Caenorhabditis elegans: one gene and its partners. The protein of the gene in region 2 interacts with the protein of the main gene of each other region in a pairwise test. Each region holds a gene or a part of one and is shown on either strand. Other genes may lie near its edges.

Region 1 (3,757 bases), 4.3 Mb from region 2:
GGTGACCCTACGGCAATGCTCGAAAATAGTCGGAACTGTAAAATCTTTTAACGAGCGATTTTTCATAAAGCAGTATTTTAATAAATATGAAATTACTAGAAAAAGTATAAAAATTGAAACAATAATCAATTACTCACATCAATTGAACCTTCATCATTATAATGGGGTGTGAAATAATTCCACCGTCTCGACATTGTAGCCATGGAGGTAACAAAATCAAAAACTAATAAATATCTATTTGAAGAAATGAAGCACTTCTTCTCTTTGTGTTGACCAACACTTTCAAGCCTAATGACGTGTCAACCTGTGTTGATCTACACTAAGAATTTGTGTTAAGTGTCCTCACTGTGTCTTTTGTGTGTATGCACATGGTACTTGACAGGTATCCGAAGAAAAGAACTGCCAAACTGTTTCTCTTCTTTTTTATCACTTGAAAGAACAGAGAACACGCCCGAGAAATGTTCGGAGAGATGAAAAAATCCTGCGGTTCTACGGAAAAACGGCTGCCTAAATTTGAGTAAATATTCCAAAGTAAAGGTAAAGTATGGCAAGTGGGGTAGTTTTCAAAAAACTACTCCCGTGGTGCTAGAATGAATGATTATCATATCAAAACCTTCTTTGATTTTTTTAGGTTATGTTTTAGTTATTAGTATTTGAACATTGTAGAGATTTGAATCAGGTTTCTTAGGACAAGAAATCAAAAAACAATTTTATTCAAAACTCCGATCGAAAACTTTTGCGAAGTTTTTAAAGTAATTTTTGTAATTTTTTAATAATATTGAAAGCTTGTAAATGCAAAAAAAACGGAGAAAAAAATGTACAGTTTAGGAAACAAAATTAGCATCAAGGCTCAAAATCAGGAGAAAACGAAAAGTTGACCACATTTTTGTTCAAAAATTTCGATTTTGCTGGATTTGTTGATTTTGACCTAGAATATTCGCAGGGAAACAATTTATTGATTTTTCATAACTTCTGGACTCCAAAAATGTTGCCCACATCTGATTCGGACGTGCAGGAATGTTCAGAAGTTATCAAAAGTACAATTTTTGAAAATTTGACTGAAATTTTCGAAATATCAAAAATGGAGTTATTAAATTAAATATTTGGGCATGCTTGACTATCATATAAGTATTTTTTACAAATATTCCAACCGACGATATTTCAACTGACTAGACAAACATTAACAAGTATATTGATCATTACCTCATGTACCCGTGTGGAGATCTTAGTGCGTATTGAATCACCGATGACGTGGCATGTTCCAGTATTCAAACTGACGTATTTTCGATGAATATGCCTAGCCAATTTTAAAAGAGATAGAGATGGAGAACCAGTTTTCAGTTTGGATTCAAAATCCAAAATTGACGTGTACAGGGTTATCGAATCGGCGTTCCGCGATTCTTCCTAGAACATGATTTAATTATTTGGCAGGAAATTTAATTATATTTACATAGATTCATAAATTAAAAAAATTAATTTTCAGAACGTAATTACTGTATACAATACGATTTTTCCAAACGATACAACGATTACTCTACCTTTTGACACCATTTGGCAAATGCGGTATCATGAAGAACTCGATCAATGGAGAATTTCGATCGCATCGTCATTATTTCTTCGTTTCATACTGAAAGTTTTGTATTTTACCCATGTAAGATCATTTATCAACAAGAAAAACTTGGGTTAAAAATGATTAAATATTTGAAGTATGGGTGGAGATTGAGCAAATGCGCGAAAAAAACGTCGAAATGTTAGACGGAAAGAGATGAGATATTGTGTCAAACCGATCGAGAGCCCTACCGTCTTGGCAAATAAATTGACGATAGAGGGAGAGAATGAGTGTGGAGACAGGAAATGGAGAAATTTGTGTTCAAGTCTCGTAAAATAAGGGTTTAAAATGTTATAGCACGATTTAGAGTATATAGCTGAAAAGTCTATATAAAAAAAATTCTGCCAAAATGCAAGCTTTCTAGTAGAGTTCAATATTTGGAAGGATTTTCTAACTTTTTCAATTCGGGAATTGATGGTTATCACCTTGTTTATTCTAAAGTAGTCTTAAAACTGAAGTTATAAAAGCCGTGGGTTTCTTGTTTTGATTTGAAATTTCTTCACTTTATTAATTATTGAAAACTCGCTTTTTATCTCGAATGCGTCTATCGCGAGAAGTTGGCATATCAGTAAAAGTGGGGGCTACTTCCTTCGGAATTCTTACTGGAAAGAATGTCTTTCGTGACGTTAAACTGTCCGAAACACTTATTGTCACTATTTTCAATTTTTCTAAAACTAAGAGCACCGATTTCTGAAAGAAAACATGTAGTAAAATTCGATAAATATTGATGTATCAATTTTTAAATTGTTAAAATATAAAACCATGGAATGCATAGCGAATGTGGGCATATAGCAGTTTTGAAATTTCCATAATCAAGGAGTGTGTCGTTTCGCGCGAGAAGTTGACCTTCGATGGATTGACTCACTTACTTTTACATTCAGCCGACACAAATGAACTGACAGATGTGGGAACAGATGGGGATGGATGTACTCTTCAACAGTACACACATGATATAACTGAAATTGACGAATTTGATATTATGACAGTATATTACTCAATTCTTTGCATATAAAAATGTCTACTCTGACTAGAAAACCTTTTTTGGTGTCCAGAGAGTTTGGGATCGAATGATATACTTTCTGAAAACAATAGAAGTTTCGAATTGAAAGTAAAGTGTCTTTTGTGCATTTGGGGTGAACTCCGTAGTTTAGTATAATTTTGGAATTTCTATTATTGGGAAAAGTGTCGAAGGCGGGCAAGAGCACTGATGACCTTATAGGCCACCATTGAACTCTTCCGGAATGTTATCAACAACTGATATCGAACTACACTCATTTCCTGGATTCCATTATAATTATCTTTTCCCTTAAAATCTCTGCTCTCGAGAATGTTTTCGTGCACATGGTAGTCGACGGATTAGATAAGAGACATTGAAAGGGAGAGACTAATTATAGACAGGTGTATTGAGAGACTCTATGGTGGAAGAACGGACCTTCCTAAAGGTTTAGAGCAACAAATCGATCGGTTTTGAGCACCATTGCATGACACTCATAGATGTAGTCATTTGAATCTTTCTACATTCGATAGTTATCCAATTTTTTGAACAGTTCTGATTTTTCAACAAAAAAATGATTATGGCCGATGAATCTGTGGATCAAATGAGAATCGAGGAATTTCTAGTGATAGTTAATCGTAAGTTATTTTATTTTTCTTTACAAGATTCCCAATAAATATCCGTATTATAGATTACACTACTCATGTAAAGTCTACAACCGATCTAAGCAAATGCGGGAATTGCACATGGGTTCTTCCGAAATTGGATGCACTTCAGAAGAAAATGATCGATTATCTTCAATACAGAAAAGATGATGAGGATACAATTGAATGGAATACACTTATTATCGAACTATTAGATATGCCAGATGAGCACAACGCAGAGGATATTCATAGCAAACCGTCACCAGCGAAAAAGAGAAAATCAGAAGAAGTCAAACCAAAAATTGAGGCAAAAATCGAAAAGAAAGTTGCGCGTGAAGAGACGAAACTTATGGAATCTTCAGATAAAATTGATAAAGCAATTGAAAGTCTTGTTGCTGAAACTGAGAATCAATACGATCCACTGGATAACGTTGAAATGGATAGTTGGGATGATGAGGAAGATGATAGTGGAGAAGATCAACCAGAAGATGAAGAAGATGAACTAATGGA
Region 2 (3,757 bases):
TTTTTATTGAATTTCTACTATTGTTTTTCAAAATTTTTAAAAATATCTTTAAAAAAGAAATTCGCAATTTTTATTTAAAAATTTCCAAAAAAATTTTTTTTTTCAATTTTTAAATAAGAAATTCTCTTTATTTTTGAACAAAAAAATTCCGCTAAAAACTGAAATTTTCCAGAAATTTTTAAAAATCCTAATAAAAATAACCTGTAGACAGTTTCAGGAACATATTCGAGAATCAAATTCAAGTAGAGTTCATCCTTCTTCTCGCCGCTCGAATAGAAAAAGTATTTGAGCTTCACGATATTTGGATGATTCAATTTTCGCATAATCTGTAGTTCACGATTCTTGAATCGTTTGTCCTGAAGAACTTTCTTGATTGCAACCATTTCATTTGTTGTAGAGAGTTTGGCAAGGAATACCACTCCGAATGATCCATTTCCAATCACTTTCTGATCGTAGTACGAGATTTCAACCTACAATACATTTTTTTTTAATTAAAATTTGAATTACAGTGTTTTTTTTCGTTTGGAGATTTTTTAATAATAATTTTTTCACATTTTATCAGCTAGTTTTCCAGCAAATTTCCTTTTTTTTTTTTTGAAGAAATTGATATTTTAAGTGCTTGAGTAAAATCGTGTACTCCACGAGGAAAAGGAGAACAATTTTGTCAACCTATTTATTACGTGTTTATCCACAGATGAGAAAAATCGCCATATCTGCCGCGCAAATGAACCCGCGGGAAGAGATAAAACTACTGTAGTTTTTAACCAATTTGTGTAGATTTACGAGCTATTGCGTCATCGTTGAATTTAATTTGCAGGCGTTTTTCTAATTTTTTTGTGTTTTCTTTTAAGATTTATTCAATAAATAGATAAATTTCAATATAAAAAAGAGTGAAACACGCCTGAAAATTAAAAATTGCGGCTCAAAATTAAATTCAACGATGACGCAATAGCTCGTAAATCTACACAAATTGGTTAAAAACTACAGTAGTTTTGTCTCTTCCCGCGGGTTCATTTGCGCGGCAGATATGGCGATTTTTCTTATCTGTGGATAAACACGTAATAACTCATTTATTGTGTTGTACTAAATATCGAAAAATATATTTGTATCACTTCCAAAGAGTTTTTTTTTGTGAAAATCCTCATTTTCATGCATTTCCACCAGAGGTGGGCGGATATTTTTTCGGATATTTTCTAATAATGAATTTATCAATAAGTATTGATGTAGTTATTCTGGAAGAAATGTATCCGAACAAAAGAGTAACTATTAAGCAATCGGATATTACGGATATTACGGATATCGGATAATGGACTTGCATATCGTTTATACAGAAAACTTGTAGAATTTTTTTAGGTTTTATCATATTAAAATGTTGCTTAATAGTTACTCTTTTGTTCGGATACATTTTTTCCAGAATAACTACATCAATACTTATTGATAAATTCATTATTAGAAAATATCCGAAAAAAATACCCGCCCACCTCTGATATCCAACTTCTTTTCATCCAAATTTCTCCGAGAAAATTAAAATTTCCTCACTCAAAACCAACCTGCTGATCAACACCATCCGTGGCGACTGACGCGACGACCATCGTCACTTGTTTTCCGCTTTTCAGCGAGCACGATAGTAACTGCTTATTCATCACACCACACTACTGATTGATTTGATTCTTGTGTGTGTGTGTGTATATATGAGCTCTGTCCAATAAATGAGAAGAGCCAGAGATTAGATGATGAGGATATGATGTGGTTTTTTGAGAGGGAAAACGGAGAGAATGAGGCTATTCACCTGAAAATAAAAAATAATAAAATATTTCATTTGGGCGTTGGGTTTGAAAAATACGAGGAAACGTATAAAAATGGGTGATATTTAAGGCAAATATGAGGTGAAATGGAGTAACATTTCAAAATTCGATAAACTTTTAGGAATTCCTAGCCAAAGTGGGAACAGGGGTGGGCGGCAAACGACTTTTTCTGGCAAATCGGTAAACCGGCCAATTTCCGACGAATCGGCAATTTGTCGAATTTGTAGGACTATTAAAGAGCTGTTAAATATGGATTTCGCCAAAAAACTTTACTGGAAATTAGACGATTTTTGGCATTTTCAGCCCATTTTTTTAGGATTCGCTTCAAAAAATCCAAAATAGTCGTAGGGGAGCTCTCATTTTGGAGGATATTCAAACTAGAATAGAATTTAGCCAAAAATTGAAAAAATCGAAGTTTTAAAAGTAGTATTTCTCAAAACTTCTAAAGTTTTTTCTAAAGCTTAATGTAATGTTATTAGCTCGAAAAAGTTGGCTAACTCACTGTAATAAAAGGGAAACGCCAAAACTGCCAAATTTTTAAATATAGAAATGAATTTTTTGAATTTTAAAATTAAAAAAAGGGAAGTAAAATCTAATCCGACACGTTTTAATGTACGTTTTTTTCAAAATAAATAAATACATATTCATTCGAAATTGAATTTTTCTAAATTTAGCGGCAATAAAAAATATATTTCTAGAAGAAACTATATTTTTGGTACTTATGGGTTTCGTTCCCCCCAAAATGATTTTTAATTATTCAACACTACCTTTTTAATTTTAATCCACACGTTATTGTTTATTTTAATACTGTTTTCATTTTTACAAGGCTTAGAAAATCATTTCCCTAAGCCTGGGAATGAAAAAAAAGTTCACGTATCAATTAGAAAATATGGAAATCATTTTGGGGGGAACGAAACCCATAAGTACCATATTTTTTGATTTGGAATTGATATAATTGCTATTTTCGTAAGTATTTCAAAATTCTGACTGAATCAAAATAAAATGCTTCAATTGCTCATCTTAAAATAGCATGTAAGCCCATTTTGCTACACAATTTCAAGAAATTTCACTAGCGCGATCGAAATAACCAGTTTAATAGGAAATTACTCATATTTTCAACGGAAAATGCTCAAAATCGCCAAAACTCACCGCTTCTCACTAACGATTGAACGAAAAATGACTAAATTTCGGTGTTGTTTTTTTTATTTTAAAAAACTAATCCAACACGTTTTAAAAATAAATAGAATTGCTTTTTATATAAATACAAAAATACATTTTATTTCAAAATTGATTTTTTCCAATTAAATTTCGTGGCAATAAAAAGGTACGTATTTTTTTAAAATGTTGTTCCTTGGGAAAAATCAAAAAAGATTTTGGCTAAACAGGATTCTATATTGATCGTAATAGGGAATATATAAATATATATACCGGAAAACTGGCAATTGTCGTTCGGAAAATTGTTTTCCGGGAAACTGCCGGTTTGCCAGTTTGCCGGAAATTTTCATGTTCGGCAAATTGCACAATGTCAATTTGCCGAACATCAATTTGCATATATGTATCTTTATATATATATATATATATAATATATATGTGTCAGTCAATATGAGGGGGTGGAAAAGAAGGAAAAACAGCTAAAATTGAGTGTGGTGAGCGAGTGAGCGCGAGCGCGTGTCTGATGGAGGAAATGGGCAAAAATATGGTGAGATGGAGAAGAAAAAGGAAATGAAAAAGAAAAAAGAAGAAGAAGAAATGCGCTATCAATGTGGAAATAAGCATATTCAATGTTCCCATGGTTTCTATTTTCATTCTATACTGATTTTATATTTATTTTTGTATCGGAAATGTTGAAATTCGGCAATGTCGGGAATGTCCAATTAAGGGTGGACGGAAATTTGGCAATTTTTTTTGCGAACTTGCCGGTTTGCGGATTTGCCGGAATTTTTCATTCTCGG
Region 3 (3,757 bases), 1.4 Mb from region 2:
AATTTTCGCCAAAATTCTGAAAATCTGAACTGAGACCGCCGATATTACATTAAGAATGCATAGGTTTCGCAAATTCTGTAAATTTTCCAAACAACCTCGGTCTCGCCAAGAAAATCCTGGGTTACTGTAGGTTTTCGTGGTGAGACCCAACTTCTATCAAATTTGACGGAACTTAGGCATGATTATACTTATTTTAAAGCTCTCAGTGAGCTAAATTCAAATTTTCACAATTAAAAAAAAAAACAATTTACCTTATTAAAAGCCTCAATAAACTCTTCGGAGCCCACAAACTCCTCGTGTTGGCGTCTTAAAAATTCTTGAACAAAATTCGAACAATGACTGAATACCCGATCCTCTAATTCGGTGCCATGACGTAGTTTTTCACCAATCCAAAAATTAATTTTTGATTTTAAAAAATTTTAAGAAAAGCTTACCGGAGCCCTAAAATGCTTGGGAATTGCTTCGCAGTTTCCGGTCCGAGAGGACAAAAATTTCGAGTATATTGACTTGGAAAGTTGGGATTTCTAAAAAAAATAGATAAATATTGCCCGATTTGCCAAAAAAGTTGCAAAAAAATCAATACCTCCGGTTTTCCCTCCAACGCCATTCGTTCGTATGCTCGGATTGCGAAGAACAAGTCGAGGTACTGAAAATTTCTTATTTTTTTAGAGAATTCGGAAATTTAAAGTCAATATTTGAATTTAGCTTGCTGAGAGCTTTGAAATAAGTATAATCATGCATGAGTTCCGTCAAGTTTGAAAAAATTGGGTCTCGCCACGAAAATGTGGGGCCACAGTAGTAGATTTCGTGGTGAGACCCAACTTTTTTTTGACGGAACCTAGACTATTATACTTATTTCAAAGCTCTCAGGATGCTGTGTATGAATTTCAATAAATTTAATTTTTATGGGGTCCCACAACGACAAACAACTACAGAACCCCATGGGTTGCGTGGTGGGACCCAACGTTTTGCGAAACGTGGTCATGATTATGCTTTTCCAAAAGCGCATGAAAAGATTGATTAAATTATGAGAAATTTATCTCGAAAATTAAAAAAAGTTGAAATTTTCGCAAAAAATTTTCGAAAAAACGTGAAATCGCAGACTTTCCTTGTAACTGGTCAAAATTCTCACAAAATTATGATTTCGCCTGCAAAACTATAAAATTCGAAGTCAGCTCGCTGTCAGCTTTTAGATAAGTATAATGATGTCCAGGTTCCGCAAAGGTTGAAAAATTAGGGTCTCGCCACGAAAATTTGGGACTACAGTAATAACCTTCGCGGTGAGACCCAGATTCTTTCAAGTTTGAAGTAACCTAGGCATAATTATACTCATCTTGAAGCTCTTGACAAGCTACATCCGAAAACAAGTAAAAATTTCAAATATTGGAACTTTGGGTCCCGCAGCAAAAGAAAATCTAAAAATTTTGCGCCAAAACCTAAAAATTTTCAAAATCATCGTAAAAATGTCATGATTATACTTATTTTGAAGCTCTCGGCAAGCTAAATCCAAATTTCGCAGAAAAATCCCAAAAAAAAAGTTACCTGAGGCGAGGAGTACTCAATAAGCCATTCCTGAAACGCGTCGAGTGCCGATCGATCGGATAGAACGGCCTCCAGGCTTCGCGCCCAACCGAGATGGGTCTCCATGCACCTGAAAAGGAGGTGAATTTTATGATTATGTTGAAATAAGAGAATATTCAAAAAAAAAAGTAGAGAAAAACTTGAAAAATCGAGGGAAATTTTTTTTTGAAAAAATTTTAAAAAAATAATTTTTTTGCCAAAATTTTTTTTTTCAATTTTTTGTTCAAAACTTTTCTAATGACGCTTTTACTGAAAATTAAACAAATTTTATTTAAACTTAGCAGTTTGACCCCCTCAAAACCTATAAAATAGGCCAAAACTATACACAAAAAAAAAAAAAAAAAACTGTGATAAGATATAGGATATACAATATATTATAAGCGTCACTATTCCCTCTCTAATTGCAAAAATGGAACAACTATGGGTGTCTTATTGTTCCTATCAGTGGCTGATAATCAAGGAATGAGGCCCCTCGCTTACTCAATGAATGGGCGAGAGCGAGAGAGTGGCGGGGGTGAGAGACGCAGAGATAGTGACGGAGAGTAATGGGGTGTATTGGGAAGAGTAGTAGTACACACACACAGATAAGACACATGTCTCCAGAAAGATGACAACGATTGATGAGTGAACATTGTTTCGGGTGCCCCCGGAAGAGTTTACTGGGGACGCTCGACCGGCTACCGGGAGGGGCCCCTAACTTTAGGGGCGTTGATCTTGCTGGTAAGTTGGTCTAGCAGAAAAATTTAAATTGAATATATGTAGAAAATTGTACGTAGATTATTTTGTTAGTTGACAACTTTTTGCTAGCTCTGCTCTCTGCGGAGTTATGGAGCTTTTAGGTTGGAACTGGGGGCCAAGGGAGGCTTAGAGGTCAAGTTCAAATAGCTGTAACTCTGCGGAGACTGATGCCATCAAAAAGTTGTTAACTAGCATATTGTAGGACGTTTTATAGCAATTATTTTGTCAGTTCAAATGTTTTGCTAGCACCATTGTGTGCAGAGTTATAGGGGTTTAAGTTAAAACTGGGGGCCAAGGGAGGCGTAGAGGTCAAGTTCAAAATCCTGTAATTCTGCAGAAAATGACGGTATCAAAAAGTTTCCAATAAATAAAATGTAGGAAAGTTTATGATAATTATTTTGATAGTTAACAATTTTTTGCTAGCTTTTTTATTTGTAGAGTTATAGAGGTTTGAAGTTAAAAGGAGCCTAGCGCCTCTTGAGTTCAAACCGTTATAACTCTGTGGAGCCTGAAGCAATCGAAAAGTTGGCTATTAATAAAATGTAGGAAATTTTACGGTAATTATTTTGTTAGTAGACAATTTTTTGCTATCTCATAGTTTAAGCTTAAAAAATGTTTAAAAAATGTGACGCTGTAAAAACTTGATTTTTTTGAAATTATCGCCATTAAAAAAAAAGTCTAAAATTTGGCCAGTAAACCTCAAACAACACAATTTTTTTAAGATTTCAGCAAAATTTCTTAGTTTAAAATTTCTTAGCCCAACAAGGATTTTAAGAAAACCCAGAAAAATGTTGTAAAACTAGTTTTTTTTTTCTTGGAATATTTTGAGTTTTCAAACATTTCAAAAAATAAGATTTTACCGTAATTTTTTTTAGATTTCAAGCCGAAATTTGGCCATGAAATGGTTTGACCTAAACCGAGTCTAAAAATTTTCAAATTTTTACGCCTAAAAAAGACCTAAAATAGTTTGGCCTAAACTGAGCCTAAAATAAATTTAAAAACTGGATTTTTCATATAATTTTCCAGTTTTCAAAGCAAATATTATAGTCCCAAAGATGGTCTAAAAAGGAAAATGGGTAAAACAGAAGGATTTAGGAAAAAGATGGGGGTAGGAAAATCAAGGGGGGTAAAGAGAAAAGGAGAAGGAAAAGAGAATTGGGGGGTGAAGTGCCTCCTCTCTCTTCTTCTCGGGCGGTCGGTGTGAGAATGGAGGCGCCCCCTTCTTCAAAACCAGCGACTCTTTGATGTTCGCCGACACGTGCCTGCGTCTTGTCGATTTATTCATATTTCTCTCCAGCCCGCCGTCCACTCCGACTTGCTGCGCCTCCTCTCCCCGCCGCCAAAAATTGTGAAAAACCTTGAAGAAGCGGCACTTTTTGATGTTTTTTATTGGCGGAGATCTTCACAAATCTTTTTTTTTTCGGTCTAGAAATGAAGA

What was found.
Region 1: the proteins of gsk-3 (region 2) and axl-1 interact in binary tests that used the Caenorhabditis elegans proteins (3 or more experiments, as listed by UniProt).
Region 3: the proteins of gsk-3 (region 2) and pry-1 interact in binary tests that used the Caenorhabditis elegans proteins (3 or more experiments, as listed by UniProt).

What each region holds. Positions count from the first base shown.
Region 1 is NC_003279.8:8,511,772-8,515,528, reverse strand, and holds the start of axl-1 (Axin-like protein 1), read right to left. Parts: upstream 1,630-3,757; 5' UTR 1,611-1,629; coding exon 1,539-1,610; intron 1,405-1,538; coding exon 1,204-1,404; intron 309-1,203; exon of another isoform or gene 204-308; coding exon of another isoform or gene 138-203; intron 1-137. Other genes in the region: K02B12.2 (Myb_DNA-bind_3 domain-containing protein), read left to right, coding at 3,178-3,241, 3,295-3,757. UniProt on the Caenorhabditis elegans protein: Works in parallel with pry-1 in negatively regulating bar-1 signaling in vulval precursor cells and Q neuroblasts. Shown to have a role in excretory cell development.
Region 2 is NC_003279.8:12,817,248-12,821,004, reverse strand, and holds the start of gsk-3 (Glycogen synthase kinase-3), read right to left. Parts: upstream 1,790-3,757; 5' UTR 1,644-1,789; coding exon 1,551-1,643; intron 471-1,550; coding exon 202-470; intron 1-201.
Region 3 is NC_003279.8:14,177,710-14,181,466, forward strand, and holds the start of pry-1 (Axin-like protein pry-1), read right to left. Parts: upstream 1,652-3,757; 5' UTR 1,648-1,651; coding exon 1,543-1,647; intron 647-1,542; coding exon 584-646; intron 525-583; coding exon 435-524; intron 390-434; coding exon 252-389; intron 1-251. UniProt on the Caenorhabditis elegans protein: Works in parallel with axl-1 in negatively regulating bar-1 signaling in vulval precursor cells and Q neuroblasts. Inhibits Wnt signaling, which affects tissue specific expression of Hox genes, egl-5, lin-39 and mab-5.